Linked DNA regions of Canis lupus familiaris. The protein of the gene in region 4 interacts with the protein of the main gene of each other region in a pairwise test. Links are inferred from orthologs where the notes say so. Each region holds a gene or a part of one and is shown on either strand. Other genes may lie near its edges.

Region 1 (4,117 bases), on a different chromosome or scaffold from region 4:
CATGAAAATGTTTAATCCCCAATACAGTTAAGGGGAAGTGAAATTCTAGTAGCTAAATCAAATTAAAGCACCATGCCACACTATGGGTACCTTTTTGGCAACGGGAACGCCTAGGCTCCCCTTTGCTTCATTTTAGTGAGCTGAAGAAGAAAAAAATCCAAACCTTTATATTCATTTCCTAAGTTCCTAGAATGCCAGAATTCTGACACATACGATTGTATTATTTATTTGTCAAAGAGGACTCCGAATCTCACTGAAAACCGCAAAGGAAACCAACAGACCCACACGAATGGTCCCGACAGCCCCACCGAGGAGGAAGTGCAGGGGGGAGTCAGGCTTCGGGTCGCACAGCGCGGCAGTGGCTTCGGCAGAAGAGCCTGCGGGCTCGGTCTGTTCCTTCCGGACCCTCTCCCTGTCCTCCAGCCTCCGGCCGCCGAGCACACGGGAAAGGTGCCCGGATTCCCCGAGCCGAGTTCTCGCCGGGGCTGCCGCACTTTCGGGGGCGCAGCCGTCCGGCAGGGTATGCACACCTGTCCCCCCGGGGGAGGCTGCCGGGGCATCAGCCGAGGCCACCGCTCCCCGGAGCTCGCCAGGAGAACCCGGCTCCGGTTCCCCTCCCGGCAAGGCTGGCTCGACCAACAGTCAACAGGAAGCTCCCGCGCTGGGACAGGATCCCCGGCTCGGAAGGAGGCCAGACGCGAGCGTCTCTGGACGGCGACCAGGCCGGCGAAGAGCGCCTAGTGACGCGCCCCCGGGCTCACGCGGCGGGGCTGAGGTCTCCCCACCAGCGACGAGGGGTGCGGAAGCCTCGTCCCAGAAGGCACGCACTCAAGCCCGTCCTCCCCACGCACACAAAGCCCGAAGCCCTCGGCACGACGGCGCGGGGCAAAGGGAACCCAGAAAGAGGGGGCGGGAGCCTCCCTCACTCCACCTCCCGGGGCCGGTAGTCCGCGGCCGCAGCGGCCGCGCTCCGCCTCCTCACGCCCCCTCAGCCCGCGCCGCCTCGGGAATCCGCCCCGGACCCCGCCGCCATGTTGGGTCCGGATAAGTGACCCGGACTCGCGGCCGACCGGGACGGCGTGCGGGGGGGGGGGGAGGGGGACGGCCCGCGGCCCACAGCCGCCGAGCGCGCCGGCGCCGGAAGGCGGGGGGCGCGGCGTGAGTTCCGGTGAGCGGGCCGGCCGCGCGCGCAGGTAGCCGCCCCCCCGCCCCCGCCCCCGCCCCCGCCCCCGCCCCCGCCCCGCCCCCGCCGCGGAGGGGCGGAGCCGGGAGTGAGGGCGGGCGCCGCGCGGAGTGGAGGTGGAGAGTGAGGCCGAAGGGTGGGGGAGCCCGGGAATTCCCTCCTCCTGAAGCGGCGAGTGCGGGGCGGCTGTGCCGTCGTCGCTGCGGCCGGGCGCTCGGGACGAGGAGGTGGAGGAGGGAGAGGGCCCCGCGGGCCTCGCCTCCGCCCACCGCCCCCTCCTCGCCGCCCCGGGCCGCGGTAGCGGCGACTCATGAGAGCGCGGCTGGAGGGCAGGTAAGGACCCGGCTGGGCCCCCCCGGGCGGAGGCGGCCGACCCCGGCCCGGGCAGCGCTAGGCCCCGGCGCCCGCCCGCCCGCGCGCCCCCGCGCCCGCGCCCCGAGGCGCCGGCGCTCCCCGCCCCGGCAGGCTCGGAGTCGGGAAGTTGGGGAGAAAGTTCTCCCCTCCCCCGTCCCGGCCGGCCCGGCGGGCGTGTCTCCTTCCCGGCGCTACCTGCTCGCCCCCCTGACTCGGTCTCCGCCCCGTCCCGTCGTTCCCGGGCCCGCCCAGGTCCGACCGCAGGTCCTGGGAGCGGTGCGCTACCTCCCGGCGGTGCCCGGGGGCGAGGTCGCTGGTGGCTCCCGCGGCCGCCGGCGGGGCCGGGAGCCGCAGCCCGGTTCTGTCCCGGAGCCGGAGGGTCCCCGTGGTAAGACGCCGGGTGGCAACTGTGCTGGGAGAGCGGACGTGGGCGTGTGTGGGGGCGAGGGGGGGAGCCTCTCGCTTTGCTTGGTTTGATTGAAAACCGCAACATGTTTAAAGTTTTCCTTTGTTTTGGGTTGGGGGTTGGGAAGGATGCCATTCAGCGTCCGCTCTTACAGTGTTCTGCCGCTCCACCTCCCATTGGGTTCGCTTCTCTGTCCACATGGTGCAGGAAATTTTGGTTTAAAGTGTGTTTTCCTTCTTGGTAATCGCTTCCAGCTTTTGCTTCATTGGGCATGGGGTTAGCGTCGTTTTCGGAAGCCCTTTGGAAACCAAGTCCGGTGTAGGGATGGATGGCTTTGATTTTTGCCTTCTGATGAGTGGCAAATAAGTCCAGGGCAGGGACTGCTTTAATTTTTGTTTTGTGGTGGGTGGGACACAGCATAGTTCGGATTTGGTTGAATTACTTTCTGCGTGATTAGTTGAAACAGGCGTGGAATAACCCACGGTCTAGCAATCTATAAATCGTTAAGGAAACGAGACGTCTCTAGTGGAATCGCAACTTGATGTTCATGCCATTAGGTACGTGTGTTTCATGGTGTGCTTTCACATACATGATTTGACATGTACATGCATAAGATTGTGGTATACGTGTGTCTTCATAACTCTAGGATTGCGGTGCCAACGGTATCTCGATAATTCTGAGTATTTGTGAAACATCCTGGTAAATGTCTAAAGTTACGGACTAAGGAAGATACTACTAAATGGGTACATGTGACTGTGTACTTAAAGCATAGTACCTGGTGAATCTAATAACTAGGGCAGTGGCTCACGGTGGACAGAAAACATTTTGAATGGGCAGGTAACGAAGGAGTGTCATGTAGGAGAACGAGGATTTTGTGTGCGTCACACGTATATATATATATATTTCGTACATTCTGTAAGAAAGTTTTATTTCACTTCAGTCATACATCTGCTTTGTTTTACTGATATGTGAGACCACTGTCATCGTTGACATTTAAGAAAAGGAAGTCTAATTATTGTAAATTTTGGACATTACCCAAACCTCAGTGGCGATTTTGAATGCTGGTTGACCAATTCATAGGGTCTTAAGATTGAAAAATAAAACGAAACACTTGCCTTTGATTCGAATCTAAATACAAGACCATTCGTATCCATGTTTCCAGAATAAAAGAAAAAAAAGCTTTTAAAATATGTACTCTCGTATAACCACCATAACGTTATAATAGCTTTTAATTTTGCAGTATGTTTTTGCTGACTTCATAAACCACAAAATTGACTCCTTTCTAGTCTACTGAAAGCGAAATTATGACTTTGACCCGTCTTCCTGCGATAGGTGGAATTTGTCTTATGACTGAAGTATAATATTAATATATGGGTGGAGTTTTCTTTTTTTTTAATTCAGGAAAATCTCAAGCTAAAAAAAATCAATGTCCATGCAAATAGATCTCCTTCATGATATGTAATGTTGAAAGAATAAATGTTACAGGCTAATAGCAACAATGCAGTATTAAGTGAAATATTACCAACCTGTGGTATAAGGTTTATTTATACAAAGTCCAAATTTGCATCTTTTTAGGCAGTAAATTTGTTAACGTGAGTAATTTTTCTTTATAAACGTGTTTAACTCGATGTAGTGTTCAGTGTAGTTGTCATTTATCCTTTTAGCATTATATTAAAAAGAGGTACAAACTTAGTTACAAAATAGGTCAGAAGAATGTAAGGTACAGCATAGGGAATATAGTCAATATTCTTGTAATAACTTTGTATGGTGACAGGTGGTAATTAGACTTAGGAGGGAATTGTTTCATAATATAGAAAATATCAAATCACTATGATGTACAGTTGAAGCTCGTAGGATGTTGTATGTCATTTGTACTTCAATTTTAAAAAGCACCTAATATCAAAAAGCACTACTAAGCTCTGGTATCTGGGAATACAAACTTGGGAAATAAAAGTATAATTAAAAAAAAAAAACCTGCAAGGAAGTGATTTCTGTACAAGTAAAGATATGGGAGGTGGGAGGAAGTTGTGATTGGGACCCAGATTCTGTAGTGGTTACAAAGTTTTAACCTGCTGGTGGTTCCAATGGTTTTTTTTTTTTTTTTTTTTTTTTTTAAGAAGACTGTGTAATGTACTATATAAGGTGCTTGGGTAAAGAACTTAACATTTAGTGAC
Region 2 (4,122 bases), on a different chromosome or scaffold from region 4:
ATAGTGAGTGGTGTTGTGCCCAAAATTGCGAATCCGAGAAACCACCAAGGAGCCAACACTGATGCAAACACGCGAGGGTTTATTTACAAGCTCGAGCTTGGGTCCAAGTATACTCTGCAGAGCAGAGCAGAGGCTTGGACCCCGAAGTGGGTTACAGCTGAGTTTTTTATGGGCTGGTCTAGGGGATTTTCAGAAGGGGTGGAGGAATTTTTTTTTTCCTATATGGGGGAAAGGGTGGGGGAGTTTCTCAAGATATGATATGGGATTCCTGCTGAGGGCAATTCTGAGCTCTGTTGTCTCCCATATGGGATTTCCTGCCGAGGACATTCTGCAGTTTTTCCTGTAAAGTTCAGGTCTTATTCCCAGGGGCCTAAGATGGCTGTACTTGTGCTAATGCTAAACTTGAGGTGGAATGGCCTTAATTTTTCTCGGCCTCCACATTGGGGGCTCAATTCATGGATGAATAAAGTATTAGAAATCACAATCCTTAGAAATGACAGAAGAAGAAAAGAGAGGGTTTTTTTTTTCTATATGTCTATTTTTCTATCTATATATGAGATGCTGGATGTTAACTAAACTTATTGCAGCAATCATTTCCCGATCTATGTGAGTCAAATCATTATGCTGTATAACTTTGACTTATATAATGATGTATGTCATTATATATATAACATATATAATGAGATATATCTCAACAAAATTTATACATGTATACAACATATATATAATGAGATATGATTATATCTCAACAAAATTGGGGGAAATCTTTTTAAAAAGAAAAAAGAAGGTTAGGGCAGACAAGACACCCATATATTTCACCAGGCTGCGCCGTTATAGTTAAGACATGAAACTACTGTTATGTTAAGTGGTTGGCACCACACCGACTTGGGTTTAATTCATCATGTGTGTAATGTTCCAAGCGTGTGTCAGGTCACCTTAATTGTCATGACTCCAGGTATCTATCCCTGTTAAGAAGGATCATAAAGCTGAAAACCGAGGACAGCTCCACCGACTTAGTGAAGCCAGGAGGCTCCCGGGAGGGCAGCCGCCCTGGGCCAGGGGTTGCCACCTTGGACTTGCTGCCAGGCGCACCACTGCCCGCGGGCCTCTCTGATCTGCGCGGTGACGGGAGCCCAGGCCGAGGAAGAGATCACGAGCGTCTGCGGAGCGCGGGGCTGGGGTCCCGGAGGAGGGGGGGCGGTGCCGGGTGTCCGCGGGCGGGCGCGGGGGCGGGCGCGGGGGCGGGCGCGGGGGGCGGGCGCGGGGGCGGCGCCGGGCTCGCATTGGCCCAGCGGGCGCCCCTCCTCGGGCCGGCGGGCGGGCAGCGGGGGCCGCGGGGGAGGCGGCATCGCCCGCCCAGCGCCGGAGGCGCCTGCGACCTCCGCGCCCGGGAGCCATGGCCGAGTACACGCGGCTGCGCAACTGCCTGGCGCTGATCCGCCTCCGAAACCCGCCGGTCAACGCCATCAGGTAACGGCTCGGGCGCCCCCAGCCCGGCCCGGCCCGGCGGGCAGCCCTCCCGGCGGGGCTCGACTCCGCGGCGGGTGTAGACGCCGGAAGCCACGGGCACGGATGGAACCGCGGCGCCTGCCAGGCTTCGAGCTTGGGTCAGCTCGGTTAGCGTTCGCGGCGAACTCCGATCCGTGTTTCGCTGGTGTGGAAAGGCAGCTGAGGCTCAGAGGCAGGAGAGCGGGGACGTGGGGCAGCTGGGCTCGAACCCGGGCCGTCGGCGCCGGCTGCGTGCTCCACCCGTGGGCTGGCGGGCAGCGCTGACTTCTCGGGCGCGCTCGACTCCAAAGGCACAGAGCCAGCGGGACCTTGATCCCTCCTCACTTCCCAGACTCGAGTCCGGGCCACCCTAATGTGTGGCCGAATGATCTAGAAATTCCCACTTGTAAATAAGTAAATGCCCCTCATTAATGCCCAGGCAGTGAGGACAGGCGAATTGCGGCATGGTGCAGAAATGCAAAGTTCTTCTCCTGGTCTGTTCTAGACTCGGAGGCGTTGGTGCTTCAGTGGAGGATACGTTGGTTTGGAGAAGCCCACTAAGTAGCATTTCCTGAAAAACGACTGTGCAGTTTATCTTCTTTTATTTCACCGTGGAGCACCTTCCTTGTTAAACCGCACACGGATTTGTTCCGTGCACTTAACAGCAGTGCTTTCCAGACTGGTTGTTTTTCCGGTTTCAATTTTTTTTTTTTTTAAGATTTATTTATTTATTCATGAGAGACACACACACACGGAGAGAGAGGCAGAGACACAGGCAGAGGGAGAAGCAGGCCCCATGCAGGGAGCCCAACGCGGGACTCAATCCTGGGTCTCCAGGATCAGGCCCTGGGCCAAAGGCACATGCTCAACCGCTGAGCCACCCAGGCGTCCCTAATTTTAAAAATGTTTAATTATATAGGTTTGGTTCTTGGCATGTCTTTGTAAAAAGGATAGTGATCATCAGCCTAGGAAAGAGCCACCCATCCCCAGAGAGTAGGATTAGCAGAAATTATAATTTACGAGAAATATATAAAACAGGGAAGAAAGACCTTTGATCAACATTTTTATCACATACCGCTGGAGCAAAAAAGAGACAGCAATGAGGAGACCTGCTAATTTTTATCTTAGTGTCATCAGATTTGATTTTATCATGAGTATTAATATAACAATTCATATTTTTAATATAAGCTATTGCACTTAATAATACCAAAAAAGTGCAAGAATAAAATCTCACAAGGATATGTCCACTTTCTTGCCAGTCTCAGAAAAAGAAAGCAAAATATCCATTGTTTTGGTTTTGATGAAGAAAAACATAATATCATTACATATCCCTTTGGGACTTGTCTGTATTTTAGTTAGAGATACTAAATACTAGGACTCTGCCTCAGCCTCTGCTCATAACCAGAAACCATGCCCGACATTAACTTGGTAAAAAGGCTTCACAGTCTAATACCCATAACTAGAAATATTTTCTCATAGGAATTTTAAGCATTTCTCATATTTACTCCGCCCCACCCCCCATGCAACAGAAATGTTTGTATCTACCTCATATCATAACATTGTGGTGAAGTCTACCTCCACTAGAGATCATAAACTGGCATTGCACAGATGTTAGCTACCATCATGGCAAACCCATGCAGCAGGCCCTGCTGCCACCTGGGGTTTATTTCAGCTTCATCGAGTTTTCTCTACTTGGGAATGCTTTCCCATTCTTTCTTCTATCTTCTTCTCAAGTCATATAAATACATTTTTAAAGATTGCAGGGTTTTTTTTAAGATTTTATTTTTAAAAAAGATTTTATTTATTTATTCATGAGAGACACACACACAGAGAGAGAGAGAGAGGCAGAGACACAGGTAGAGGGAGAAGCAGGCTCCATGCAGGGAGCCCAACATGGGACTCGATCCCGGGTCTCCAGGATCACACCCTGGGCTGAAGGTGGCACTAAACTGCTGAGCCACTGGGGCTGCCCAAAGATTGCGTTTTTTATAATCTCTACACCCAATGTGAGTTTTGAACTTACGATCACAAGGTCAAGAGTCACCTGCTTTACTGACTGAGCCAGCCAGGCACCATTCTGAAGTTATATTTACCTCATACGTATCCCTCCATGTTCATCAAAATTAACAGGTTGCCTATTTTTTTCTTTCCTTTCTTAAGATTTTATTTTTTTGTAAAGATTTTATTTATTTATCCATGAGAAACACACACACACACAGAGAGAGAGAGAGAGAGAGAGAGGCAGAGACGCAGGCAGAGGGAGAAGCAGGTTCCATGCAGGGAGCCCGACATGGGACTGGATCCCGGGTCTCCAGGATCAGGCCCTGGGCTGAAGGTGGCACTAAACTGCTGAGCCACTGGGGCTGCCCAAAGATTGCGTTTTTTATAATCTCTACACCCAATGTGAGTTTTGAACTTACGATCACAAGGTCAAGAGTCACCTGTTTACTGACTGAGCCAGCCAGGCACCATTCTGAAGTTATACTTACCTCATACATATCCCTCCATGTTCATCAAAATTAACAGGTTGCCTATTTTTTTCTTTCCTTTCTTAAGATTTTATTTTTTTGTAAAGATTTTATTTATTTATCCATGAGAAACACACACACACACAGAGAGAGAGAGAGAGAGACG
Region 3 (3,963 bases), on a different chromosome or scaffold from region 4:
CATTTGCACAATGCCTGATACACACACAAAGCTCTAGCTCTGAGTTTTGGAGCGTGGGAAACAGCGTGTGGTATAATAAATAGTTTCCCTGTCTGTGCTCAGACCCTCCTGAATTATAATCTTCAAGGGAGGAATTAGGGGATCTATTTGAAACAAAAACCATGGGTGGAGTCTTAGGATCTGATGAGTTTGGGAAACACCATTTGGGTTAAGCACTGCCATTCTCATCCCAGGGTGATGAGATGATGGAGGTGAAAGTTAAAGGTCATTTGCGAGGTTTGCACTCACTTGTTCAGTCAACAGAAGTTTCCTGAGCGCTCACTGGGTGCCCCACCCTATGTTTGGTGCTGGGGACACTGCAGGAACAAGAAAGACTCAGGCTGCGGGTATGGGCACCTGCGGCGGGTCCCTCACCTCGGTACCATCTGCGTTAACTGGGTAGCGATCAAGGGAATTAGTCTCTGGCCTGCTGGGGGGCCCCAGGGGTGGACGGCCAAGTTGTCTCTCCCCGCAGGTTGTGAGCCCGAGGGCGGGTATTTGAGGGTCAAGGACTGTGGGGCCCGGAGGCCCCTGGGCTCATTGCTGCCTCCTGTCCAGCTCATTTCCTCTCAGGGCCAGATGTCAGAATCTCCCCACGAAGTAGATACTACTGTTCCCATTTTACAGATAAGAAAACAAAGGCTCAGCGGAGAGATGGGTCACATTTGCGCGCTACCCGCGAAAGGCTTCCAGGCCCGTGTGTCTCAGCCTGGCCGCAGGGCCTGATCCTACCTCCAGCGGCGGCTCAACGGCCGCCAGATCTCTCGCCAGACCCGCGCGGTGCGTCGGCCTCCCGGGGGCTCTGGGCCAGAACGCCCCCGAGCAGCCCGGGCCCTGGCCGCCGCCTCGGGCTCCTGGAGGCCGGCCCCCTCGCTCCCGACCCCGCCTAGCCCTACCTGACTCCCAGGCCCCGCGCAAACACAGCGCGCCGCCCCGGGAACTACAACGCCCGTGAGCCTCCGCGGCGCTGGGGAGAGACCGGACGCTCCACGTCGCCGCCAGAGACAACCGCTTTGCCCTCATCAGCACGCGAGGCCCGAGGGCGCTGCGGAAACCTCCCTCCCTCCCCGCCCTCGAGACACCGGCACCTTCCCGGCCTTGTCTTGGGTCCTACGCCCGGAAGTCGTATGATGGCCATGAAGACTGGAGGCTAGAGAGACCCAGACTTGTGCTCTGGGCCTTCACTTCCGCCGGAAGTGACCTCCAGTCCCCCGTGCCCTTCCCTTTCAGCACGCGCGGGCGCCCGGGACCCGGCACTCGGGGCTCGAGTACGACCACCATGGCGGCCACCACCCTGCTGCGCGCGACGCCCCTCTTGAGCGGTGAGGGGGCGGGGAAGGCCATGGCGGCGCGGGGCCACGTGGGGGTTGTCGCGAGCGGCCGGGATCGGACCCGCGCCCTGACTCCCAGCCTCTGCCCCGGCAGGTCTCGGCGCCGGCCCGACCTCCCTGCTGCAGGGTCTGTTGCGGCCGCTGAAGGCCCCAGCCCTGCCCCGCTTATGCCGTGGCCTGGCCGTGGAGGCCAAGAAGACCTATGTGCGCGACAAGCCCCATGTGAACGTGGGCACCATCGGCCATGTGGACCACGGCAAGACCACACTGACCGCGGCCATCACCAAGAGTAAGCGGGGATGGGTCGGGGGCGTCCGGAAGCGCCCGCCCAGCAGGAGAGACCTGGAGCTGGGGAGGTGCTGCTGGAAGTGTTGTGGCCCCAGGAGCCAGAACCCTGCGGGCAGTGGATTGCAAGATGCGGGAAACACATTTCTCCTGAACGTGAAAGATTTTGTGATGCATAAGCTGGGGAGCCGGAATGGCCTCTCTCTTGTCGTGGCCAGTACCCTGTAGGCAGAGGGTGCTTTACCCTAGAGAAGTCGCAGGGCTGGACCATGAGGCCTTGTTACATTTCCCTCTGACCCGAGTTACACCCACTGCAGGAGCTGAGGGTGTGTCATGGACACATTATTCTGGCCGACGGTCCTTTTGTATAGTAGGTGGGAGGGACTCGGTGTGGCTTAAGCCTTGCCTCCTTACCTCTGGTACTTCATCTGAGAGGCTTATTCTTCTCCTTCCCCTTAGTTTTAGCCGAGGGAGGTGGAGCCAAGTTTAAGAAATATGAAGAGATTGACAATGCCCCTGAAGAACGAGCCCGAGGAATCACAATTAACGCGGCTCACGTCGAGTACAGCACTGCTGCCCGCCACTATGCCCACACAGATTGCCCAGGTCATGCAGATTACGTTAAGGTGAGTGTTGCTGGGTACAGGGTCAGGGGCTGTCTCCCACCAGAAAAAATGTTGGACTTGTGGAGAGGTTAGGATATTCAGGGTGCATGGGTTGAGGTCCTGGATTTCTGGGCATAGCCACTCAAAGTGGGTGGTAAGGAGATAGCAGAAAAAGGTGGGCCTCCATTCCTAACTGCTGTGCTTGGTTAGACGGATTTGGAGCTGAGGTGAGGGGGTCCTTGAACTGGGCTGTTGTTTCCTCTCTTCCTACTCAGAATATGATCACAGGCACCGCCCCTCTCGATGGCTGCATCCTGGTGGTGGCGGCCAATGACGGCCCTATGCCCCAGACCCGAGAGCATCTGCTTCTGGCCAGACAGGTACTCAAGAGCCTGGGGAGGGGTGGAAAGAGAAAGAGTGGGAAATTGGGTCCATTCAGGATACTATTTCTCTCTCTTTGCCATCCACAGATTGGAGTAGAGCATGTTGTGGTGTACGTAAACAAAGCAGATGCTGTCCAAGACCCTGAGATGGTGGAGCTGGTTGAGCTGGAGATCCGGGAACTGCTCACTGAGTTTGGCTACAAAGGGGAAGAGACCCCCGTCATCATAGGCTCTGCCCTCTGTGCCCTTGAGGTGAGGGGGGGGGGGAGGGGGTCAGGCAAGGGCTGTTACTGGCATCGGATGGGGCTGGATGGGTGTCCAGAGCTTTGCTTTGAGTCTGGGGAGCATCTCTTAGTAAGAGGAACAGAATGACAATTTCAGAATCCTGTCATCTCCCCCCATAGCAACGAGACCCCGAGCTAGGCGTGAAGTCTGTGCAGAAGCTGCTGGATGCTGTGGACACTTACATCCCAGTACCCACCCGAGACCTGGAGAAGCCTTTCCTGCTGCCTGTAGAGTCCATTTACTCTATTCCTGGTGAGGACCCTGTTCACTTGCACCCTTCTCTAGCTATAGCCTGATCCAGAATACCTGATGTCCTGTCCTATTTTTTTCCAGGCCGGGGCACGGTGGTGACAGGTACACTAGAGCGTGGCATTTTGAAGAAGGGAGATGAGTGTGAGTTCCTGGGACATAGCAAGAACATTCGCACTGTGGTAACAGGTATGGGAAAGATGCCTTGGGACCCAGGGTCTGGCTCCAGGATTTCCCTTGCAGATCCTTTGTGCCTTCCCTCTGCCCTAGACCCTCCTCCCTTGTCTCGCCTCCCTCCTAGGTATTGAAATGTTCCACAAGAGTCTGGAGAGGGCAGAGGCAGGCGACAACCTGGGGGCCCTGGTCCGAGGCTTGAAGCGGGAGGACCTGAGGCGTGGCCTGGTCATGGCTAAGCCAGGATCCATCCAGCCCCACCAGAAGGTGGAGGCACAGGTGAGGGAGGGCTCCCAATGAGGATGGGCAGTGCTGAGCCAAACTGCCCCATGCAGAGGCAGTCTTTCCAACCAAGCATAGCTTCACCCTTGTTCTCTCTCTTGCAGGTTTATATCCTCAGCAAAGAAGAGGGTGGCCGCCATAAGCCTTTTGTGTCCCACTTCATGCCTGTCATGTTCTCCCTGACTTGGGACATGGCCTGTCGGGTTATCTTGCCACCAGGGAAGGTATGGTGGGTACAGGGAATGTGAAGAAGTAGAAGAGACACTCTTCGTTATCAGCTCTATCTACTCACAGTTCCAATTATGTGACAACATGGGTGACTTTTCCTTG
Region 4 (4,199 bases):
GCAAATCAACCCTTGCATTTAAAGCATCAGGATTCGAAAAACTCAGTGCAATTATGCAAGTCAATATTTTAAGTGAGGCAACTGTACTGGAGGGAGAAATTTCCTTCTTTCCCTGTAGGCTGCTTCTAGCTGGTTTAGGAGTTGAATTCATAGGAGACAGGTGAACAGGAGGTTAAGAAAAAAAGTTTTATTACATGTGCATGGAAGTCCAATAATGAAATTGAGACCCTAAGAAATGACCAAGGCTGGCAGTTTTGATATATTTTAGACAGAGACAAGAAATTCCTGAGGAATTGACAGGACAAAGAAAATAGGGGTTTGGGAGCTTTAGTTAGTAAGGAATTCTGAACAGAATTTGGGCTGAGTGAGGTAGTAGATTAGGAAAAAAAAATAAATAACAAGGCTCATTTCTCCAGCTTTCTCCACTTTAAAGTTCCTATCTCTGGTGATAAGGACGTCTTTTTACTTAGTACAGGGAGGGCATTTTTCACACGGGAAATTTATTTCCTGCTTTCAGTGGGGGACAAAGGAGGATCTGAGTGTACTTGTACCAGGTTGTTTCCTGGGTTGATTCAATTCAAAATAATCAATATGCCAGCGCAGTACATTTGGGGGCAGCTTGCCCTGCGCTCCTACACAACCTGTACCTGAATTCCTTGTTTTTCCATTAAAACAAGTGCAGAGAGGGCTTTTTTTAATTGTACAGCAAATGCAGGTGGTCCTGCAAGTTCGAAACAGGTTTAGGGACCGGTTTATATGAACCTGAGTTAGCTGCTTGGTAATCAACACGGCTTTCGAATCTGGTGGGGCTTCTGGGTGAAGAGCCTGACCTCGTTCCTCTGTCAGACTTAAATAATAAAAATGATGCTAAAAAAAAAAAATTATGTCCTCTTGAACATCGTGTCAGGTCAGTCCCTAGGCCTTTCTCTACTTCCCTTGGGTTCCTGGCAGGAAACATGTGGAGAGGGAGCGGATAAACAGGTTCCCGTTCCCAGCAGCAGCACGTTACAAAAATTTTCCATCTGTTGTCGTGCCCTTGCCTCCGTACAAAAAGTGCGGTTTGAAACACGGTTTCTCTTATCTCCCTTTAAAAGCCTTTTTTCTCAGGCGCTTGCATTCTGGTACAGTGTTGAGCATGCCAAGCTGCTTTTCGCTTTATATCATCATGTGACGCCGCCTCTCCTCCAGCCTTGAGGCTCTTTAAAACAGAATCACAAAATATAGTTACTGAGATTCTAGGAGCGATGGGGGTGGGGTGAGAAGCGAGGACTGCGGAGGGCAACGGACTACACTTCCCACAAGCCCTCGCGCGGCAGCTCCCCTCCCTCCCCCACGCTTCCCACCCGGAGGCTTGCGCTTGCGCGGAAAATCCTGCGCTGAGAGGAGGGGCGGGGACGACACAACGCGCCTGAAAGGGGAGGAGGAAAGAAAGAGACCATAGACTTTCACCTGGGCCTAGAAGGTCTCTTAAAGTAGTGGGGAGAGGAGGGCGGGTGGGGACCACCTTCAGAGCAGGCCGCCGGCGGTATCATGGCGACCCGGAACCCCCCTCCCCAAGGTGAGCGGCCGGGGCCCGAAGTAGTATCTCGGACGTGGCTCACAGCTCTCGACCTTGCCCCCGGGGGCGCCTCTTCTTCCCCTGCCCCAGGGATCCAGGGGCTCTTTTTTGGACGCACCCCTTTAGAACTAGACGCCCTCCTCTTACGGCTGAACTCTGGCGGAGAGCGACCCCCGACCCCAACACAGCCCTGCTTCCTGCCTTACCTTCCCCTCTGGCCCTTCGTTTCCATCTTCAGACGTGCTTTTTGGCATTTCTGATGAATTACTGAAGTAATTTCATCTTGCCAGGCCCCTAACCGCTTCTGTCAGTGGAGGACCCCCTCTTTGTCCCACTGATGAAAATGGATCTCTAGCTCGGGCCCTGACCCGACTGAGATTTGGGGGCGACCGTTTATGCCGTGAAAGTCTGACCTGGCCTTACTGCCATTTGGGGAGGCGACCCCTCACTTCTGTGTAACTCTGACGTGGCTCTGGCTCCGGCCTCTAGGCCGGTCCCTGGGCCTTTGGAAGGGAGATGCTAGGCCCTTTTACTCTTGAGGCCCTAGTCTCAGGTGTGGGGTTTAACAACCTAAGGTTTCCATCTGGGCATTTTTAGCTGTAAGAAAGTAACAGTTAATGACAGATTTTTTAAAAAATGTAAGGACCTTTCTGACTTTTGGTTAACTCTAAATTTATTTTTTCCATTTTGTATTTTGAAGAGTATGAAAGCGATGACGAGTCTTATGAAGTGTTGGATTTAACTGAGTATGCAAGAAGACACCATTGGTGGAATCGAGTGTTTGGCCACAGTTCCGGACCTATGGTTGAAAAATACTCGGTAGCCACCCAGATTGTAATGGGTGGAGTGACTGGCTGGTGAGAACATCTTTTTCATTAGATTTCATTGGCAGCCTTACTGCTGCCCTTCCGTAAACAGGCCAGTTACTGAGCGCATTCAGTGGTTTTACACTGTTAATCCCAGAAGAGCTCTACCTTGAGGCTCTTCTCTGTGATATGATTGGTGTGATCTACAGTCTGGAGACAGTGGTTTTGGTGATTGGCTTCCCCACGCCCACCACTTGTTCCCCTGGTCCCTCTCCCTTCCTTTGATTCTTTACGTACTTTCCACCTTCTCACATTTAGCAAATGTAGTGTATCTGATTCAGTGAGAGTGGGTAAAAAGGAAGATCCATCTGAGGGCTAATTATATGTAAATAATTTTTACTTGTGCAATGCTAACAACTGGAAAGACCTTTGAGGACTCCCACAGTAGAATTGGTCTCTAGGATTGAGAGCTCTGTAGAAAGCCGTGTAAAATTCTCAATGAAAATTATTGTGAATCAAATGGTTCTGTTGATTTTTGTGGACTAATTTGGATTATTATAATACTTTGAAGAAGAGTTGGAATTGAAGGACCAATTGCTTACTCTGTAATAATATTGTGGAATGCATTAAGGAGAAGCAGTTAAGCATTAACCTAACTAACCAATTAATGTTTTGGGCTGCATGATGACATGATTGCTACTGTAGATCAAGTTGTTATTCTTGGAATAAAAGATTAGCCAAATAACAAGGGTCAAACAAGTATGGCCCTTTATCTTGAAAATGTTCATGATCGTGGAGAATTTTTGACGTTTGTGGGAGTGCTTAGCTTGTGAGTAATCATTTTTCTCCCTTAGTTCTAGGTTAAATTTATCTTACATTAAATATTTACATATTTAAACTTGATAAGCATTAAGCTTTTTGATTTGTGTTTTATATGTACCTTAGAACAAGGTTCATTCCTTTATGCCTTTTTGTAAATGCTATTTTATGGTAGAAACATGCATTGTGAAGATTCTGTGATGCAAAGGTACAGTATTTCTTCATGATGTGTGCTTATTAATGCTGCTTATGAAAAGACCTGCAACTAGAAGAGAGATGCCTGGTCAGGGCCCTGGTTATTCAGTTGATCCTCCACAGATAGTTTGTACCTTGATCCTCCATAATGGAGTCTGGTGCTCTGCTCACATAAGCTCACACGTTGGTGCCATGGCTGATTGGTTAATGGGAGTCTGGGCCTAAAGCCCCATCTTAAAAGACACTAAAAGAATAATTAAGCGATAGAATTATCACATTGTGTGCATTCTCCTTGTAGGCCAGACTTGGTGAGAAGCCCCATAATTGGCAGAAGTTTGCTTGGAAAGCCTAGAGACAGAGCAGGGGAAGTTAGTAGTTTAATTTTGATGGCTCATGCTGTTAAGCAAAGGATAGACATGCTTGTGAGACATGGTCTCTGGGATGTACTTGTGACTTGGCTGCTGCTCCCCCCCCCCATCAGAGCCTTTGTTGCTGACTTCCCTACTGGCAGCTGTGGTCTTTATAGTAATACGTATGTTTGGGTTACAGCCAGGTGTCGTCGGCTCAGGAGCTGTGTAATAGGACTCCAATATTACACGGGTGGTTTGTTGCAATGACTTTAGACTCAGTGCAGTAAATTTCTGCAATTTTCTTAAGGTAGAAAACTGATGTACTATCGTGGCATGTGTTAAGGAGGAATGGTTAATAGGCATTAACCTAACCAGTTAACATTGCAGACTCTGAACTCTGTAATAATATTGTGGAATGCATTAAGGAGAAGCATATCAGGTTCAGGATATGCATGGGAGGCTAAAGAGATT

Evidence for each region.
Region 1: the proteins of FUNDC1 (region 4) and YES1 interact in binary tests that used the Homo sapiens proteins (3 or more experiments, as listed by UniProt). The two-hybrid records come from large-scale screens. The link is inferred for Canis lupus familiaris from reciprocal best matches to the Homo sapiens genes FUNDC1 and YES1.
Region 2: the proteins of FUNDC1 (region 4) and EHHADH interact in binary tests that used the Homo sapiens proteins (3 or more experiments, as listed by UniProt). The two-hybrid records come from large-scale screens. The link is inferred for Canis lupus familiaris from reciprocal best matches to the Homo sapiens genes FUNDC1 and EHHADH.
Region 3: the proteins of FUNDC1 (region 4) and TUFM interact in binary tests that used the Homo sapiens proteins (3 or more experiments, as listed by UniProt). The two-hybrid records come from large-scale screens. The link is inferred for Canis lupus familiaris from reciprocal best matches to the Homo sapiens genes FUNDC1 and TUFM.

Annotation. Positions count from the first base shown.
Region 1 is NC_049228.1:67,651,986-67,656,102, reverse strand, and holds the start of YES1 (tyrosine-protein kinase Yes), read left to right. Parts: upstream 1-1,317; 5' UTR 1,318-1,516; intron 1,517-4,117. UniProt on the Homo sapiens protein: Non-receptor protein tyrosine kinase that is involved in the regulation of cell growth and survival, apoptosis, cell-cell adhesion, cytoskeleton remodeling, and differentiation.
Region 2 is NC_049255.1:18,237,378-18,241,499, reverse strand, and holds the start of EHHADH (peroxisomal bifunctional enzyme), read left to right. Parts: upstream 1-1,322; 5' UTR 1,323-1,396; coding exon 1,397-1,470; intron 1,471-4,122. UniProt on the Homo sapiens protein: Peroxisomal trifunctional enzyme possessing 2-enoyl-CoA hydratase, 3-hydroxyacyl-CoA dehydrogenase, and delta 3, delta 2-enoyl-CoA isomerase activities. Catalyzes two of the four reactions of the long chain fatty acids peroxisomal beta-oxidation pathway.
Region 3 is NC_049227.1:18,524,284-18,528,246, reverse strand, and holds the start of TUFM (elongation factor Tu, mitochondrial), read left to right. Parts: upstream 1-1,163; 5' UTR 1,164-1,318; coding exon 1,319-1,361; intron 1,362-1,464; coding exon 1,465-1,659; intron 1,660-2,114; coding exon 2,115-2,281; intron 2,282-2,535; coding exon 2,536-2,640; intron 2,641-2,730; coding exon 2,731-2,895; intron 2,896-3,047; coding exon 3,048-3,180; intron 3,181-3,261; coding exon 3,262-3,366; intron 3,367-3,478; coding exon 3,479-3,630; intron 3,631-3,737; coding exon 3,738-3,857; intron 3,858-3,963. UniProt on the Homo sapiens protein: GTP hydrolase that promotes the GTP-dependent binding of aminoacyl-tRNA to the A-site of ribosomes during protein biosynthesis. Also plays a role in the regulation of autophagy and innate immunity.
Region 4 is NC_049260.1:38,703,805-38,708,003, reverse strand, and holds the start of FUNDC1 (FUN14 domain-containing protein 1), read left to right. Parts: upstream 1-1,399; 5' UTR 1,400-1,530; coding exon 1,531-1,558; intron 1,559-2,258; coding exon 2,259-2,415; intron 2,416-4,199. UniProt on the Homo sapiens protein: Integral mitochondrial outer-membrane protein that mediates the formation of mitochondria-associated endoplasmic reticulum membranes (MAMs).